2 linked regions of the Lytechinus pictus genome follow. The protein of the gene in region 2 purifies or fractionates together with the protein of the main gene of each other region. This does not show direct contact. Links are inferred from orthologs where the notes say so. Each region holds a gene or a part of one and is shown on either strand. Other genes may lie near its edges.

What was found. Proteins that work in one complex are often made in the same cells at the same time.
Region 1: the proteins of nuclear pore complex protein Nup98-Nup96-like (region 2) and nucleoporin Nup43-like purify together in Homo sapiens (affinity purification with mass spectrometry; 4 studies listed by BioGRID and IntAct, counting the BioPlex papers as one, with this or other methods). This does not show direct contact. The link is inferred for Lytechinus pictus from reciprocal best matches to the Homo sapiens genes NUP98 and NUP43.

The regions. Positions count from the first base shown.
Region 1 is NC_087258.1:19,776,393-19,787,291, reverse strand, and holds the start of nucleoporin Nup43-like, read right to left. Parts: upstream 3,855-10,899; 5' UTR 3,780-3,854; coding exon 3,663-3,779; intron 1,614-3,662; coding exon 1,431-1,613; intron 617-1,430; coding exon 539-616; intron 382-538; coding exon 219-381; intron 1-218. UniProt on the Homo sapiens protein: Component of the Nup107-160 subcomplex of the nuclear pore complex (NPC). The Nup107-160 subcomplex is required for the assembly of a functional NPC.
Region 2 is NC_087249.1:39,825,339-39,835,136, forward strand, and holds the start of nuclear pore complex protein Nup98-Nup96-like, read right to left. Parts: upstream 5,027-9,798; 5' UTR 4,942-5,026; intron 4,780-4,941; exon of another isoform or gene 4,629-4,779; intron 2,813-4,628; exon of another isoform or gene 2,724-2,812; intron 1-2,723. UniProt on the Homo sapiens protein: Plays a role in the nuclear pore complex (NPC) assembly and/or maintenance. NUP98 and NUP96 are involved in the bidirectional transport across the NPC. May anchor NUP153 and TPR to the NPC.

The DNA.
Region 1 (10,899 bases), on a different chromosome or scaffold from region 2:
CCTCAATTGATTGGTATGACATTGTCTGTTTACACCTGTGTTCTTGTCTGATTTTATTCCTCCAAAAAACAACTTCTTCAAATTTTTTTCGTGGACAAAATACCCTTAACTTTTGGTTAAAACCCTTTTTTTCTTCTTTTTTTTTTGCTTGTCAAATTTTTCCTCAAGAAAATGTGCCCCCCCCCCTTTCGAAAAATCCTGGATCTGCCCCTGCTCACCAATGGTTCTTATCGGTTGTCTGTGCTCCAGCCGCAGGACGTTAATCCTTCCGTCCTCTCCGCAGGTGGAGATGTCCGTTCCATTGACGGCTATGCAGGTACAGGAACAGGTGTCGGCAGGGTGGTGATGAATGCCGGACCATTTCTGAGAGGGCGCAAAGTCCTGAAGAGGTAGAGGAGGTGAATTTTTTATGATTATTTTACCTTATCATTCATTATACCAAGTGGAAATAAGACAATAAATGCACAGCCAAACTTGCAAATAGACAAAGTGGCAATTACACAAAATAGTTTAATAGTATTTCCATGCCCAGACTTACCCCTTTAGCTTTGTTGCACCTGAACGCTTGAACACTTCCGCATGATGAAGAAGCTAAGAAAACATCTTGGTTGACAAACTACAGGAATGAAAATAGAATACAAGAATGCCAATTATTTGCACATTTACCCTGAATGGACCTAAGAATGACATGCTACAAGATTGATAAAGTGTTCAAGTGAATAAGTGTAGAACAAATCAGAATATGAAAACATCAAGATGTCTAAATTCCTTTTTGGAAAATGAAATAATGAAGCAATTCAAAAATAACTGCAGGATTGGTTATAAAATTCCAGCAAATCAAAGTTCTTGGAAGATCATCGAGTGTAACATTTCAAAATAGAGGGGAAAATTGATTAAGGGGGGTAAAAAAAAAGAGAAGTACGGTAATACCATTGATTGCAAAGCATGGGCCTCCAAGAGCCTTAGCAAAAATTTATCGAAATGCAGCATAAATCACAGTTATCTAGTGCTTACTTATAATTATGATCATGTAGCGAACCAATTAAATATGAATGAACATAGGAATTCATGACCCAAGGCCAAGAATAGATAATTAAATTTTATCATGGTACATGTACATGTATGTGATTTATTGTTCTGGTCACCCTGCCTACATACATAGACATGAACAAAAGTCAGGTTTTGCAGGAGCTTAAAACTCTAACAAGGAGAGTTTCATGTTTGAGGAGGCACTCACACATATCTTGCATAATCTGATTTTTTTTTAAAAAACTTCAACTACGTGAAATACATGTCTTACGGATGGTCAACTTTTAATGCCAACTTAATTTCACATTTTTTGTTTCATTGAACTTCATGAAGCAATATTAAATCTTAGATAAATCCAAAACAAAATAGGAATGAATCAATCAATTATAGAAAACTTATACCTGTATATCTGTGACATCCCCATCATGTTTCATCTGACAGAGCAATACAGGCTCCTGTTCTTCTTCTCCTGCTTGTCCTTCTAAGGCTGTGGTCCTCTGCTGTGGATAGTCTTGTTGCCAGGCTCCTGCAGCCCCTGCTTTGTTCTGGACACCTGGAACCTTCCAAAGTGAGATCTTATTCTCCTGCAGATTTTTTTTTTGTAAGATGAAAATGAAAGAATTATTCTCAAAGTTTACACAATAGACAAGATTGCATGGCATGGCCATAGGAGACCTAAGATTATTTCTGACGATTTGAAACCAATCATCCAACATCAAAGGTTATATTTATTACAGTATATCATGATAAGAAAAAAGAGAAAATAGCTCGGCGTCCACTCTCTCCCGTTCAAAATTGCACACAAAACGGCAGACCAGTCCCGATGGGAGCATACACGAATTCTAGCTCAAGTTAGCGATGAAAAGATCTGCCCACAGCAGCTCAACTGTTTGTTCACATGATTTTAGTCGCTAACTTCAGTTTACATCAAAATTACTTGGATTCGCCTTAATTTTGATTATATCCAGACTAAAGTCACATTGACTGAAATCATGCAAAAAAATGGGTGAGCTGCTGTGGGCAGATCTTTTAAATAATTTCAACTTCAGTTAGAATTTGCGCATGCGCCCATCGATAGTCCGTCATCTTGTGCATTGTTAGACCAAAAGCTTCAGTCTCTGTATTTTGGTTGTTCCGCTGAACTACGTTGGCTCCACTCACCAATACATAGACTGAAGAGCTTGGAGGCCCGTACGTACAGCCAACGTATTAAGTGAACTAACGTTTTATAGGTCGCGATTTTAAACTGTTTTTAAGCGAAATTTACAGTTTCATGGTTTCAATTATCAGGGAAATATAAATAACTTAAGTAATTGCGTACCTTGGACAGAAGTTATTGAAAAAAATCCTCTGGATGATTGAGAAATCTTTCATCTAAGACATTTTCACCTGAGCTGAGGGTTTTTCTTGCAAGTTGCCATCTTGAATGACTTCATTATTGTTATTAACTTTTTAATGTCTCGATATATCGAATGTCGTCTGCTACCTGTGATGGTAACGGTGTTTCGGTACGCTCGCGTATGGAGCAGATCGTATAATATCGAAAGCAATATCGATATCATATTCGTGATTGTTGACGCCCTCTCCGTTCGTTTGTAAATATTTCATAGTTTGGCTGCCATTTTGACCATTTTTATCGTGTTCAACCCAATTAAACATCGGTAAAGTATAATTTTCATGCCTTTTCATCTATATCGTTTAAAGTATTTTGATAATGGAATATCAAGTTTTAAAAGTTTGTTGGTTATACATCCTTAGATTGTAAATTCGATGTGTAAAATTACATCAAACTTTGGACTGTGAATTGACAAAAGGGAGGGAATGAGAACACATGCGAGCCCACACGTACACCCTACCGTCGGTAAATGGGGATTACAGTAAAATGTCAGAAATTGTTGAATAAATCCCCAGAAACGACGGTTATTCCTGTCTAGTGCATTGTGTGCAATTTTGAATGGGAGAAAAGAAGCCCAACTATTATTTTGAGGATCATGTTGCCGAATACTAGTACTAGGCCTAGTAGTAGTACTTATTGAGGATAGGGAGTCTGTGCGGACAAACATCATTATAGTACTTATAGCCTATAGGATTGAGCCGAGGTGGGTGCATTTCTGCATGATTTGCTATCTTTCTTTTTTTTTTATTTGGGGTGTTTTGAGGTATTATTGTGGTACCCCTTGGCCTTGTGAAAAATCTGATCGTGAAGTCCAACTCCAACTTAAATCTGCAAAGCTTAAGTGCCCAAAAGGCAGGCTAAAAAAAAAAGGCCACCCCCAAAAAATTGTCTTTTCAATTCATATTTCATGGTTATCATACCCATAAAATAAATGTTTTTTTAATCATCAATTTTTCATGCCCACAATTATGAACATGATGAACGTTAATCATGTCATAGTATTGGTAGTTTGCAAATTCGCCAGTAATTAGAGTACATATGAATGACTTTATTGCCAAAAGTTAACTTGCAAATTATTTCTTTTTTGGGGGCAAGACGGGCGCTCCCAACCGAAAGCGGTCTCGCGTACATACGCAACGGAAATAAGCATCTGAACCGTACACACTAAGTTACAGCTCAATTGAATTTCACAAGTTTTCATTCGTGATCTATCGTCAAGGAGCTATAAAACACGTACCTCATCATCCCAACTTCCGGTTAAAAATGTATCGGAGAATTGAATTCCTTTGAATGAAGAAGGCTGCCATCTGACTTTTCCAACTTTCTGCGAAACAAACTTGACAAAAATATCCATTTTATTTCACTTCAGACAAAGTCTTCAAATCAAATTTTGATTTTCCGCTGCCGCTGTAATTGTGTGAACGTAGATGGCGCGCATCGCATCCGGTTTGATTTCTGGTTGAGGGGCCGGGGGGGAGTAGGGAAGGAAGGAATGGGGGAAATAATTACCTTCTGAATCAAAGAATGATCGAGTCAGAATTAAAGATCGATTAACCCCTGTACCATTACCATAATTCTACGATCATTGGTGTCTCCGTAAGGCGTATAGGTCTAGATACCCGGGGATACCCGCCACAAAGATGCACCCAGCCAGCTGAGCAACTCCACCTTAGACAACAATCGTCACCAGCCAAATCAGCATATGTCATCACAATCCTGATCATGCATCTTCACTCGTCGCGGGCATGGGCGGAAATCCCAGGGGGGACAGGGGGGACGTGTCCCCCCTACTCAAAATAGTAGGGGGGACACAATATCAAATGTCCCCCCTACTATTTTTGTCTTTTATGATAGTAAGAAATACATCATTCTAAATCGATCAATAAAACATGTATTTTGGGACGAGTTGGGACGAGATGATAGTACTTTTGGGATGATAACCTTTTTTTTGCTAGTCAAATTTTCCCGCCCCTTGTCCCCATAGGCTGATCCAGGGGGCCGAGGCCCCCCCCCCCCTATTGGCGGAGAAAAAAAAAGGGAAAAAAAGGGAAAGAAAGAAGGAAAAGGGAAAAAAGGAGGGAAAAGAGAGGAGAAAAAGAAGAGAAGGACGACGAGTGCATAAAATAAAATGAGGGGAAGACTTGGAAAATAAAAAGAATCTTTCGTGCCACTATATAAAATTTTCGCTCGCGCTTCGCTCTCGCATTGCCTGTTAGGTGATTGACATATCTTGTTTAATATGGAGCTCAACTATCAAGTTTGGAAGTCAATATACAAAACATATTTCACCTCGGAAATCGAACTTTCATTATTTTGTGTGATTTACAAATTGATTTTTAAAAGGTGCTCTGTAAAAATGTCAGTTTTATGGTCTGAATAATGTTATCAACATTCGCTGCTTCAGTTTATCAAAATTTTAGCTCGCGATTTGCGCTCGCATTAATGGTTAAAAATATATTAACTGATGCATCCTATTCATAATTACAAAAGTGAAATGTCCAGTTTTTATGCCATAATATCATCAGATTTCTCGCCCTCATTAGGCATCAATAAATATGATATTAATTTAATAATTAAATTGTCCCTTTTGTTTCATCTCGCGCTAAGCAAGAGGAATAGGAAGATAGTCATCATTTTCATGACATGTCGTATAAGGCTGTCCCGGTCCTATGTCAAAACTCAAAGTAAAAATAATGAAAATTTTAGCTCTTTTTTTTAAGTGTGATCCATTTCCACTTTACAATTTTCCTACAAAGTGCTTGAAATATAAAGCTGTAATTGACTTTTTTTTCAGATCGGAATATCAATGTTTCATGATTTTCATGATTAAAGATGTATTTAGAATGCCTAGATTCTTGTTCTAAATTATGAAACACGCGCGCGCATGTTTATTCAAATACTCCACTTGTTCTCTATTTAAATCATTATCCAGTTTCAGATCACAATATCAAAATTTTTCTGCTTGCGCTTTGTGCTCGCATTATTAATGTAGGAAGACCCCCTTATATTACTCATCCTTTTCATGATTTACAAAACATTGATTTTGATTGATTTATTTTATTTAAACACGTTAAAAAGCCCTCGATCAGCCTATGGCTGTTTACAAAACATGAACAGAGTGGCCCATTTTTAGGTCTAAATCTCGATTTTTTTTCTGCTCGCATCAATTGTTGAATTATATAGCTATCCTGTTCACGATTCCGAAAATTGATTAAAATTTTCCATTCTTTCTTTAGAAATTTTCAAAAATTTTCAGCTCGCGCTTCGCGCTCGCACTTTTTGATTGTTGAAATATGTAACGCCTTCATGGCTTAGTGCAAGCAGTCTTTTCAACAGGTACCAGTTCAAAACGTATATAAAAATTTTCTGCTCGCATTATTAATACTCATCCTTTTCATGATTTACAAAACATGAATAGAGTGTCTCGTTCAGTAAATATTATAGGACTAAATCTCGAAATTTTCCGCTGCCGATCGGGGAAAATATGGCTGAAACAAATGTCCGCGCGCCCCCCGCCCCCCCCCCCCCCCCCCCCCCATTGGCGAAGGCTGGATCCGCCCTTGTGTCCCCCTACCTTTTGGGAGAGATTTCCGCCCCTGGTCGCGGGACTCGTCGCCATGAATATTGTCGACATGGCCGTCATCATATTCAATGTTCATGAGTACACCACGTAGGCCTACCTTACCTATCATCGTCATGATGAGTTACCTCCATGAGATCATGACATAAACATAACTGGAAGCTACTCGAGAGCAGTATATTACCAGTAAAAATCACACATTTTGTACAGTTGGTTTCTAGTATTGTAGATAATGTAGGTTAAGTTAAAATATAATCTTGTTTCATATATTAGGAAGATTGTTGTTTGCTTCAGATGTTTGCATATTATTTGACTGATGGATATGTATGTATTTTATCATTTTTTTATCCATATTCCAGTACTTGTCGTAGTTTATACGTTTTGTTACAATATGTTAATGTTTTATACTAACTATAGGACCCCATTGGAAATAAGCCTTTCGGCTTTCATGGGCTATCCTGTCAAGGTATTCTTCAATTTAATTGTAATCTCCTGTGATATTTCAATCAATCAATCAATTCGTCGTGTTCATCATCATCATCCTCATCACTATCACCACCAACGTTATCACCATCATCACTCTCCTACTCCTCCTCCTCATCATCTTCCATGGGCGAAAATCCCATAGGGGGCAAGGGGACGCGTGTCCCCTACTTCAGTACAGTGGCGTAATTAACAGGCGGGGGGCGGCGGATTTCACCGGGAAAATAAAAAAAACCGGGAAAGAGAGAAAGGGAAAGGGAAAGGGAAGGAAAGACAGAAAAAGAGGAAAGGTGAAAAAGAAAGGGAAAAAAATGAAAAGAAAGGGAAAGAAAGAACATAAAGAGGGAAAATGGAAGGAAAGCGGGAAAAGGAAAGGAGAACACGTGAGGAAGTACAAATATCCTGAAATACTAATACACTATAGCATGATACCAAGAGAGGGATATGAAATCAAAAGATATGACTCAATGGCACGGACAAGAATGGCGGGAAAATTGGAGAAAGAGGCAGAAAGAAACGGAAATGAAGGTAGAACCAAAAGCTTAATTGGAAAATCAAAATATAGAGAAAAGGGACGAGAAAAAAAGAGAATAACTTAATAACAAGACCGGGTTGCCGAGGATAGAAAAATATAAAGAACGGGAAGAAAGGTGGGATGGCGTCTATTATTTGCCACCTTTCGCAATCCTCACGGCTCACGGACGCTAATATTAGGGTCCCCTAACACAAAAGTTGACGCTTAATCATACACTTGATTTTTAAGATTGATTGTACATTACAGGGGCTGCGGAACGGTTTTCAAAGTGGGGGGGGGGGCTGAGCCAAAAGTGGGGGGGGGCTGACCATGCTAAAAAATCACAATCATATGGTCATTTTTACGTTTTTGTACACGGTTTTGGAAAAAAAGTGGGGGGCTGAAGCCAGAGGCGTCGATCCATTTTTCAGATTGGGGGGGCAAAATCATGAATCAACATTCCAAAGGCGCTCGATCACACAAAACAGACTCAAACACACACACACATATGCCTATATGTATATATATATATAGATTATATATATATATACATATATATATATATATATATATATATACACACACACACACACACATCTCACCAACAAATTAAATGTAAAAAAAATTAAAAAATAATAGATGCGAGCGCGAAGCGCGAGCTGAAAATTTTGATATTTTGATCTTAAAAAACAAGAGTTTAATTGACGTTTTTAATAAAGAACAAGAAATAAATCCAACAAAAGATTATTGCAAATCGAAGTGGGAGTTCTTTTGAGGTATAGAACTGAAAACGGGACATTCTATTCACCTATTCAATCATGAAAAGTATGGGTTTTTGCTACAGAAATGATGCGAGCGCGAAGCGCGAGCTGAAATTTTTTTATATTCTAATCTGAAAACCGGACATTTTTAGCACGACTTTAGATGAAGAACGAGTTGTGTATTTCAATCTCGCTTGCTGATTTCTGTGTAACATTACAATCTTATTTTATTTTTTGCACATGCGGAATTATTGGGGGGGCAAAACGATATGTTTGCCCCCCAATATTTTCATTGGTGGGGCGGTTGCCCCCCCTGCCCCCCCCCCCATGATCGACGCCTCTGGCTGAAGCCCCCCCCCCCCCCCGGTTCCGCGGCCCCTGCATTATAGTCAATAGAATCAAACGTAGAAAACTGCTCTACAATCAATGCTAAGATTTGTTTTACAGGGGGGGTTACAGGCCCTACAGATCTGCTTTTCGTGTGCAAAATTCTTTCCCGCGACACCCGCGCGCCATACATGCATGTATTACGACTGATGGCTGGAGATATTCGAAATGCAGGACCTAAAATAGAATATGACATGTATAAGAAAGTGGTGTTTCAAACAAATCGAGTACATATTAAGTGAGGAAAAACTTACTAAATTAAGGCTTAGATGTAGATCATTACAGTCCATGGAAACGATATTGCATTTAATGTGGATTATTGGTGGATGACTGGCAATTGATTCCATGGGTCAGATCACCTCTCCAGCCGAACCCATTTCGCATATGTACACAGCGTATGCAATACGTTTGAACATGCGGGTTTCTTTTGTTTCTTTTGTTCACTCCTTCTACACAAACGATACGCCTCTAGCACACGATGTAAAGGGTATTATGTTTTACTTTCCCCTGAAATGGGGGGTTAGATTCAAATTCCGGGGGGACCACTTCCATTGATGAGTGGATACCAGGCACGACCATGGGGTTTCGAAAAGTACCCTAAACAAGGGAAGCAAGTCTTTTCCAGATTATGAAAATGCATCTTTTAACAATTATTTGGCTTGTGAAACCCTACAAGTATTGGAAATATATCCCTTTTATCAGTATTTTAATCATCGTTTTTGACACCTTTATAACGTTACATAGGCCTATATACGTAACGTACTTACCCACTCTTTCCCTTGTCACGCGTTGTTGCGCCTGGTATCCACTCTTCAATGAAAGTGGGCCCCCCGGGCGGCCTTTCGAGCTCTGGGAGGAACCAAATGTGGATTTGGAAAGTCGTCCTAAATCGGATATATCGCTGTTACCATAGTAGCAACCAGAATTTTGTACACGAAACGCAAATTGAATGTTTCCGTTCCAGATGCGAAACGAAAAAAAAAATCTCATGTCGCACAATTTGCATTGCAGGACAGAGTTTTAAGACCATGACGACGGGCCCAAAAGTCAATTCCAAAATCAACTAACGTCGTAAATAAGCGTTAGCGTTCTTCCAACGAAAGGTCGGGATCATCCCAGGTATTAAGCACCTATCATACTCTGAACGTCTTCGCCTCCTGAAATTGCCATCACTCAGTCACAGACAGACATAAAAGAGGTGACATGATTGACGTGTACAAATATCTGCATGGTTACTATGATAGAAGTTCTGAGCTTTTCTGTCTGAGAAATGGTGGTAAAACACGTGGTCATTCCTTAAAGCTAGAGAAAAGGTCTTGATGTGCGTAAGTTTTTCTTTGCTAACCGAATGATAGATGTGTGGAACAATCATCTCCCAGAAGATGTAGTTACTGCTTGTTCAGTGATTGCATTTAAGAATAGACTGGATAAGCATTGGGAGAAGATTGCCTATGATTTTGAGTGATTTTCGATTCTCGTGTGTTTTCATGGAATTTTGTGCTGGCTACGATACCCCCGCCACCCCTCCCTGCCAACATCAGTAGCGCATCTAATTTTGTCTGAAGGAGAGCAGCAATAGACATTCTACTTTGATCGATGAACATGGTTAGTCCTACAACATCGTTGGAGTACACTAAACTATAAGCTTGCTAATGGTCACAATAAGGACAAACAATCCCGTGAAAAATCCTTAGCCAATTAAAGTAGGTTTAGCCAATATAAGGGCTGGTTATCCCCCGATTTTATGTCCTAAACATAAGTAAAGCTTTGCGCTGGCTAGATTTACCGTGAAAAGCCTGTTTACTTAGGCTAAATTTCCAAAGCTACTATCAAATGAGTAGAATTTAATCATTTTTAAAAGCCAATTTTTTCTGGCTCGCTTCGCTCGCTGGCGACTTTTACAAATGTATCCACATTTTTCTATGTTGTGCTGCCTCAAAATATTTTGTTTATTGTCCCCAGCTGCGTTGAAGTTAATATGTGTTGTGTATGTACCCGCGATTTGATTATCAGTGGCCATCTGCAATGTTTAAAAATATCCCGGGGTTCCGGTGGCTCCGCCCAGACCAGTGGCGGCACCAGGGAGGCACGGAAGGCATTTGCCCCCAGTGAGTTGGCCCCACCCCCGAAATTTTGAAAAATAAAAATATGTATGGTAAATGTTGTCATAAACATCCTACTAAAGCTGTAAAGTGCTCCAAAACAGCTTTTTCGTTCCTTAAATTTTGAAAATTTTCTCATCAATTCACTGTTAGCTCCCAATAATGTCACTAAATCTTTCAGGTCATTATACAAAATTCAAAATGTCGCCCGCGCTATACACGCTCGCAGTAGCTTTTGACTGAGATAAGTAAATTATCTGTTGAAATGGGGCTTATTAAAATCAAACTTTCAAGTCAATATGCTTCTCGCGATTAGAGTTTTCATTATTCGTTTTAGCGAGATATACTTCCTGCCTACTCATAATTTTCATAAATAAAAAAAAATTCAGCTTGCGCTACGCGCTCGCATTAAAAGTTTAATTAGATAGCCATCCAGTTCATGATTACAAAAAGTGCTTATAGATCGAACGTCCAGTTATCATCTCAAGATGTCAAATATTTTCAGCTCGCGCTTCGCGCTCGCATTATTTATTTGGTGAGGTCTCTTTTCAAGTCAGTAGGGTCTACACTAAAAAATAATAGTTCGCGCTTCTTGCTCGATTTTGAGAAATTGGCAAAATATTTATGTGTTGACCCGCCCCAAATGT
Region 2 (9,798 bases):
TACATTCTCACCAAATTTAGACTCCCCCATAGAGAAATTAAATTTTTATGGAGATCTGCGTTTTCAAAGAACTTCAGGAAAAGTTAGGGTAAGTGGGCCTTTATTACATGTACATGGCTGACTAGGGTATTGTACTGGAATAAGTGGAGTAGAAATTAGATATTGAATTCATTTATATCCAAGTCCAACTCACAGTCACACACACACGCACACACCCACACACACCCACCCATCCACACACACCCACATCCAAGATTCTAAACATGATAAATAACTTTAAAAATCATACAATATTAAACAAAAAGTAATAATTCCTTAATAAGTGAACAGGTATTCCTCAAAATACAAAAAAGTAGCATTTAAAAAGAGCCCCCGAAATTTGACAAAAAAATTAAAATAGAGCCCCCGAAAAAAAATAAAATTGTCAGTGACTTAACTTTTAGCCAAAGTCAAAACCTAACTAAAACAGGTTTAACAACACACAATCTAATTACAATACATTGTAAAACAATTATAAATACTTCCTTTGGTTGTTGATTGTAATTTTATAGTACATATATTTCCTCCATCCATTTTGTTAATTGGGCAAAAAGCTCCCCTTGTATGTTGAAGAAGAGCTTTTTGAAGTGCTCCTCTACCGCTCTCCTTAAAAGTTCTAGGAGAGCTTTTTATTGCTCCCCTTATAATTATAAAACCGAGTCCCTGACGACGCTCTTCTACTTTTAATAATTTCATGTCATTTTAGCGTTATTCTATAACAATATTTTTGCCAAACGTTGCCAACCAACATTATTGCCCATCGACATAAGTGTTAACATCACATTCTAAACATAACTAACAGTTTGGCGCATTATTATTGTTGCCCGATTCATCGGTGTGTGTGAGCCTTTGGCATCGCGAAGCCAGGCTTCATTGGGAGTAAGCCTACGTATCTTTTACTCCCCAGAAGCCTCCAGGCTACTCAGAAGCCCAAGGCATTTGTTTATTGTGTGTGTGCCGGGTGCTACATAAGCACTTGCCCGATTGCCCAGGGCAAGTAAAAGTGTACACTGTAGGCCTAGAGATTAATAAAATCACAACAATTTACGTGATTTTTATATTAAAACAATAAAAGATGGATTTCCTAGGGAAATCCATCTTTGTTTACAAGTGTCTCTTATATGATGGGGGACCTAAAGCTACGCACTTTGTTTTCAAACAATAACAAGTGGAACGCCTCTGGCAGTCTCGCCTGCATTACGCGATTTAATATAGCAGCAGTGCTAACTTTGAAAACTACTATAAAATAATCATTCACAAAAACATCATTCATATAATGACATAATACCACGTTCATTGACCATAAATGACATTTGAACGGAGACTTAAGACTGTCAACTACACCCATGTCCACATTTCATTCACTCTATCCATAAACTTTCAAAGTTATGATGGCACTTCAACAATTACCCCAACATGGCCTAAGTTTATTGACCTTAACTGACCTTTGACTTGGTTTTGTGACCTGAAACTCACAGGGGATGTTCAGTGATGCTTGATTACTCTTATATCCCAAGTTTTATGAACTAGATCCATAAACTTTCACAGTTAGGATGGTAATTCAACAAATACCCCCAACACGGCCAAAGTTCATTGACCTTTAATGACCTTTGACCAAGGTCATGTGACCTGAAACTCGTACAGGATGTTCAGTGATACTTGATTACTCTTATGTCCAAGTTTTATGAACTAGATCCATAAACTTTCAGAGCTAGGATGGTAATTTAACATATACCCCCAACACGGCCAAAGTTCATTGACCTTAAATGACCATTGACCATGGTCATGTGACCTGAAATTCGCACAGGATATTCAGTGGTACTTGATTAACCTAATGTCCAAGTTTCATGAACTAAATCCATAAATTTTCAAAGTTATGATGGTAATTCAACAAATACCCCCAACTTGGCCAAAGTTCATTGACCCTAAATGACCTATGACCTGGTCATGTGACCTGAAACTCGCACAGGATATTCAGTGGTACTTGATTAACCTAATGTCTAAGTTTCATGAACTAAATCCATAAATTTTCAAAGTTATGATGGTAATTCAACAAATACCCCCAACTTGACCAAAGTTCATTGACCCTAAATGACCTTTGACCTTGGTCACGTGACCTGAAACTCGACCAGGATTTTCACTAATACTTGATTATCCTTATGCCCAAGTTTCATGAACTAGGTCCATATACTTTCTAAGTTATGTCATTTCAAAAACTTAACCTTCGGTTAAGATTTTGAAAATAATTTTCCCAACATGGTCTAAGTTCATTGACCCTAAATGACCTTGGTCATGTGACCTGAAACTCGGGCAGGATGTTCATTAATACTTGATTAACCTTATGTCCAAGTTTCATGAACTAGGTCCATATACTTTCTAAGTTATGATGTCATTTCAAAAACTTAACCTTAGGTTAAGATTTTATGTTGACGCCGCCGCCGCCGCTCGTTCATATCATATTTCCTGCATCACAGCCCCACTTTTGCTTTCAGAATTCTTAGCACATCGGCCTCATCACATGGATCATGAACTCGGCAACATTAAAAAAACTCGACGACAGGCGACAACAAACTCATATTAATTTGATTGGAAGTTTATATTCTGAAATTTATATACCGGTACGGTACCAAACGTTACGCCTGCGTTATCTCGCTTTAATACATAATATACAGAAATAACCTTACCAGAACAGAACTTGAAGTCAAAATATCCAGTTTAATCTAGCCTCATTTCCGTCTGAATCTGGTATGCTGTATTGCGCTGTTATACACACATAATACCCGCGCCTCGCTCAGCTCGCGAGCGAAGAGGGAGCTGTTCAAAATGGCGTCAATCCGGAGCAACGAAAGTTCAGAATCAGCCAAACAAAAAGTCAGTTCCACAAAAGAGAGCTCTCCAGAAAATGTTGAGAAACCGTCTACAAGGAAGCCTATTAAACAGGTCTACAATGGTAGAAGTTTCATGCAAGATATATTTTCGGAGTCAATTTTAGGTATGTAACAAAAGCTAACATTGGTTGGCTTGCCCAGTGTCACTGTCAGTGACAGTCGCAAGCGGCCACGCTGCGTAAACCGACATGTAGGACCCATACGAGAAGATCGTTCATATCATATTTCCTGCATCACAGCCCCACTTTTGCTTTCAGAATTCTGTCTAGCATTCAATGTCTTGACATGAATTTTAGACAAGGGAATACGGGAAGGTTCAAGATACATGAAATTTGCGATTTTGTTCAGGTGTTTTTCTTGTCTGCTTTGAACCACTACCGGTAGTTCTCAGTACGTGTGTGGCGGTATCTTACAGACAGCAAAATAGGGGGAAAAAATGCTAGTAGGCTACCGGTATACCGTATTTTCAATGGGAGCTCTGGGCAGGAATAAAGTGAATGATAATTAAAAATAAAAAGTCGGAAGGAGTAAAGATGGGGATTGAAGATTGATTTTGAGATGATGGATGATAGAGAGAAATGAAGGAAAGGCAAATGAAAGAAATTAATTGTCAAATAATACCAATAATTTGTCAAACAAAATAACTTCCACGGAAAGGTAAAGCGCCAGCTTACGTTGACGTTGCGATAAACATTACACATGCATGTCTTATTCGGCTAGCTGCACCGCGCTGTGCGATCGATTGGCGTCTGAACTTTGCCGCGATGACTAAAAAATGACAACAAAGACAGAGTCACACCATTAAAAAAAGTCAGTTTCATGAAGGTAGGTGCGTTTGTTACCGTGATATAACTTTGAGGGACATTTACGGCAGATACCGGTAGTCATAGTTGCTTCCCTTTTATACCCGCGGCTCATACCCCTCTAAACGGGATTGCCCCAAGCGGCTACGCTCGGCCACCCGACGCGAGTTGAAAACTGGTAGTGGTATCGGGCTGAGATTGGCTTGGCTCAGACCTGTCACCGTGTATAAACCGCACCCCCGACTTTTGATTCTGTCCCGCCGAGAAAAAGGTGCGGTTAATACACCGTTACTTACGGTACTGCATTACTGGATTTGAATTGAAGTCAGAATCTAAACCAAGAATAAGATCTAACTTAAGTTAAACAGCCCAGTCACTCACCCTAGTAGTATAATAACAGATCTCTGCAGTCTGCTACATGTAGCTCAGCTCAGCTAAGTCGTCAATCACAATCACTTCTCATCACATTCACACTCACAGTCGACCTAACTCAACTGTGTTAGACCTGTACTATGTAGGCCTACATATCTACATGTATGGTCAGTTCCCCCATGTCTGTGCGGTCTCCCAAGTCTGCGCACCCGCGTATCTGCGCGATTCTAGTAAAAGAAGATACGCAACGAGCACGAACTTTACACATGCAATACATAGACAGGTATTCATAAAAAAATCCGACTCAAAATGGTGAAAAAATAATGAATTCAGGGCATTTCATGTGACGGCCTCAAAATACAGCCTTTCTCATCAAAATCTCTGAATCGTGTGCAAAGTGAATGAGTGCGCAGACATGGGGTACCGGTACCATTTTTTTTTTCAATCTGAAAATGACTGCCCAAGGTTTTTTCAAGAAAATCCTATATTTTCTTTTATTTTTTAATGAGAAATTTGGTATACTTACTCTCAATAATATAAGGAACATTATTATCCAAAAGATTTTGTGAAATAAGAAGAAATTCATGTTAAATCTTAACTCAAATTGTTAGGTGCGCAGACTAAGGGCCCACCATCATACCTAGTCCTACGCTTAGCACATCGGCCTCATCACATGGATCATGAACTCGGCAACATTAAAAAAACTCGACGACAGGCGACAACAAACTCATATTAATTTGATTGGAAGTTTATATTCTGAAATTTATATACCGGTACGGTACCAAACGTTACGCCTGCGTTATCTCGCTTTAATACATAATATACAGAAATAACCTTACCAGAACAGAACTTGAAGTCAAAATATCCAGTTTAATCTAGCCTCATTTCCGTCTGAATCTGGTATGCTGTATTGCGCTGTTATACACACATAATACCCGCGCCTCGCGCTCGCTCAGCTCGCGAGCGAAGAGGGAGCTGTTCAAAATGGCGTCAATCCGGAGCAACGAAAGTTCAGAATCAGCCAAACAAAAAGTCAGTTCCACAAAAGAGAGCTCTCCAGAAAATGTTGAGAAACCGTCTACAAGGAAGCCTATTAAACAGGTCTACAATGGTAGAAGTTTCATGCGAGATATATTTTCGGAGTCAATTTTAGGTACGTAACAAAAGCTAACATTGGTTGGCTTGCCCAGTGCAGTGTCACTGTCAGTGACAGTCGCAAGCGGCCACGCTGCGTAAACCGACATGTAGGTCCCATTCATAGTTCCTGCTGTTGGGTGTACAGCCTATACAGGAGGCGCGGCGTGGACTAGCCTTGATCTCCATGATGATATTTATTAATATTTTGACATATACTTCATCATGGAGCCTTGATGAACCGCCTGCCATATATGTATAAGAGACTCATCAAAACAATGATGGATTTCCCTAAGGCCTAGGAAATCCATCTAAGATAAAAATCACGTAGGCCTAGGCTAAATAAATGTTTGTCACTTTGTGATTTTGGCTGCCGTGATTTTCTTTAAAATTTTAAATTATTGCCTTATTGGCAAATTTTAGTTTTACACCTTCATACGCCTAATGCGTATGAAGGTTTCAAAAATTGGTTAATAAAAAGGTTAAAAATTGAAGATTTCTTACCAGACGTCAGACCGATCTCGTGTAGATCCCTCGATCCGTTTGTCAACAAAGCAAATACAATAGGTCTGACCCTTAATTGTCACTTGATCGAACCGCATCGTTATGACATGTATGACGTACCTTTGATTAGCGATGTTACAAAATGCCGTTTTGAAGAACAATTTATTATAGATCCACTAATACTAAAATTTAATACGTGATTATAATAATTATTTGGCCTTGAAATTCCTGGAGAAAGAAAGTCTCACAATTCACAAGATTTTGCAGGGATGAGCATGATCGGTTAAAGGAGAATGAAACTCTTGGAGCAAGTTAGCTTTTGTGAAAGCAGAAAAATCAAAGAATAAGATCAACAAAACTTTGAGTAAAATAGGACTAGCAATAAAAGAGTTATGAGCATTTGAATGTCGAGATCACTAATGCTATTAGAGGTGGGCTATAGAGGGTCAATATTAGGTCACATTTTCAGAACATGCTCATCACACCCTAGTTTGATGAGTTTGTGCCTGCTGACACCATTTTTGAAAAAAAAAATTAAAAAAATGTGAAATCCGGGGTGCCCTGACCGAAAACGTAAAAAATCCAAGATGGCCGCCGTTTTGGCTAAAAAGAGACAATTTTGGCTGTTACTCGGTCATTTTTTTGTCTATTGTAATAATTTTGGTGTCTAACCCCATGTTTTAGGGGTCAAAGAAATTGAATATAATGATATTTTTGGTGTTAAACCTAATCTTCTACATTATACTCACCTTTTCCCCATATTTAATGTTAAATTTTCATTCTCCTTCACCCCTACCCCAACAGCAATTGTACTTTTTTCTGTATTTTCTTCAAGTCATGCTAGCTATGATATTCTTAATAATGAATTCTAGCTATTAAAGGTGTTTTTTTTTTTGTATTTTAAACAATACAGCAAGAAGTATACAAATAACTTACATACATGTATGTGTCAAGCAGAAAACCTGTATGTGGCTGGTGAATTTCGAGTCGACAGGCATGGTAACTGTGGAGCCAATAGTAATACTGTATCTGCTTAAAAGTACCAATTAATAAGATTTTGGTCATTAGACCTCTAGTCAGAGAGTACATACAGGTCCACTGTGGGTGTACATATTTAATTGTAAAATGACTTGAATAAGCCTTCTACAATATGCCAATTGTCAAGCACAAATGTCATGTTTCTGCTGGAAGTTGTATCCCATGAGCCAATTACATTACATGGAAGGATCTGCATCGGCAGTACTGTATGTACATCATCTTTCTTTGGCCATCTCCATTGCTCATGCTGATCTTTTCCTTTCACTCTTTCCATGTGCTCGATTTCATATCCGTCTTTATTTTGGTCTCGACACATACCAAGGTACCAGTTTCGTTTATCTTTGTAATCCCATATCACAATACAGAACTCATTGATGCCCACTTCTTTATCGGTATTTTCTTCAAGGTTGGAATGGGCAGTTGGCTGTGTGATCCCACTGGATGGCTTTAGATTGAATGCATTCACCATGTCATCTTCAGTTGGAAGATCAGGGGCAGGGAGATTATCAGACTCTCCTCCAGTCAATAGAAGAGTCAAGTTCACCTTCATTTGTGTTTCACATAGTTGGTTGACCTTATACAAGTGTGGGCGCACCAAGTAATCTCGATGGGAGATGTGTCTGCGATATGACAGCTCTGCACGTAACATAGTTTTAAGCTTGGTGGGATCTTGGGTATCCAGGCATTCCTGAAGCTCATCAACATTTGTTAAAGGACCTCCCCATGTTTTACATTTCTGTAACAGCCTATGCACATACTCTACTGCTTGTTGTGCTTGGGCCACATTTCGCTGAAGCTTTTCCTGAGAGAGGATGTTGCTCTTCCACCCATTTCTGTTCACTCTTATCCAACACTTTTGCAATGTTATGGGTCACTTTTTCCACAGTTACTACACCAGCCTTGTTCAAAGTCATATCATCTCGAATACCCTTGCCGGTGAAGTTTCTATTGGAAGCAGCTGCAGACCGTTTTGCGAGTTTGTCAAACTTTGACAGATCCCGCTCACACTGCAAATTGTTTGTAGGTAGATTGGTGAGATCTTCTGGTGTGAGTTTGTGGAGTTCAGTTGCTCTAGGTTCTGCCAAACCCGTTTCTGCTGTTTGCTGAAATCCATACTCACGTCCTCTCTGAGTGGCTAAATCTTTGGCAGCTTGCTGACACATTTGCTGCAGAAGATACATGCCTACAGTTGTCTCTGGTTTTTCCACTTGGAAAGAGTATGGTACCTTGTATGAAGACAGCGTATCTGTCTTGTTATTCAGCAGATCATCATGAAGACGTGGGAGGATGGTCACTAGATCATTCTGAGAGCTGACTTCTACCATATTAAGGAATGGGAGGGTTATGCAGTATGTGAACCAGGCCAATACCTTCAATGCTAGCATGATGAAGTCACACTCAAGGTACAGATGGCAGGCTTGAACAAGTAGGTTGTTGGATTTGGTGTTCTGCAATGTTGCCTCATACTCTGGGATGTGATATAGAATGGCCGCAGCAGTGTATCCCATCTGAGCAAATCGGCGTTCTTTAAAGAGGCTGTGCTTCTTTGTTTTGCCTGCAGATGCAACCTCACACTCGAAGATCTCCCACATGGACGACTTGTGTCCATCATTACTTACTAGTTTTGTCAGTGCCTGTATTGCTGCTATGATTACACTCTTCTTGAGGAAGGATTTCAGGGTCGGCATGTGTGCAATTAGCTTTTCACGAAGCCCTAACTTGACTTCATGCTGAACAAGGGTAGAGATATTGCCTGCATCAAATACCTCACATGTGTGGCTCACACACAACAAGTGTAGAGGTATGTGCTGACTGTTAAGAGATGCTGCTATTTGAGACTCAATGTGTAGGTTTTTGGCAACTGAGTCAGTCATAAATGCAAAAACCTTCTTCCACAGATCCTCTTGTGAGGCTTGGTTGCACGTAGCAAGAGAGAGACGCTTGATAACTTCAACCATTAACCTTGTGATATTTTCTCGATTTTCAAGAGCCATAGACAAAGGTCGCATTCTGAAGAGTTTCCCACTTGCTAGTCGGACAATTATGGATGTCCACTCTCCAGAAATCCTACGCCGTGTTGTAGTATCATAGTGTATAGTCACTTTGTCTTCACCAGATGCATCAAGAATAGCCAGTGCAGCATTACGTTCTTGCTGTATTGCTTGCATGTGTTTCTCACGTGCAAGGACACGGGCTGAAGGCAGAACATGCTGGTAAGTTGCTGCATACTCTGCAGCTTTCCTAGGACGCTTAGGAGACTTGCTAGTAGCTTGACCTGCAGTTTGAAAATAAAAAAGGACACAGCTTTTGTACTAGTACAAGAAACATTTTTTTTCTTTTTCATATTCACTTTCTCGTTCTCTCTTTATCATGATTTATTATTATGCAATGCTGTAATCTATGCTAACATTATCCTGAATATGTTGGCTGATTGGACATTTAGAAATGTTATATCTTGATCAATTTATACATTGTATTTTGTTCCCTTGTAAACTGAATGCAACTTAGCCTACAGGCTTGAATGTATTACTCACCCAATTCATTCTGTAGAGCTTCATCTGCAGATAAGAAAAAAAACACTTCACTGGTCACTTGAAATGATCGACGTGCTTGTTCTACACTTATTGAGGCTTGGCTGCTTGCTGATGCCAGAGCGCACTTAATTTTGGGGTCAAAGTTGCGTTTTCCAGTACGAATTGGAACAGCCGAGTTGACATCAAGAGTAGTCTGAGTGGCTTCATCAACTTTTGGCACGGTTTGTCGAATTGAGCCTGCCCTTGTAAATGAGGTATTTAAGTCAGTTGACACAGACATGTGATCATCCTGATAATCGGCATCCATCGCAGCAGCAGGCAGTCTTGCACCATCTTCAATAAAAGCCAGTTCTGCTTCTTCGGCCTGACGATGCTCCAATGCTTCACTTCGCTCCTGTTCACCAGCAACATCATACTCAAGATCGATCTGATCACTCAGTGCCATCTTTCTAGCACCAAATTTTTTATCGTAATAGAAGGCACGTT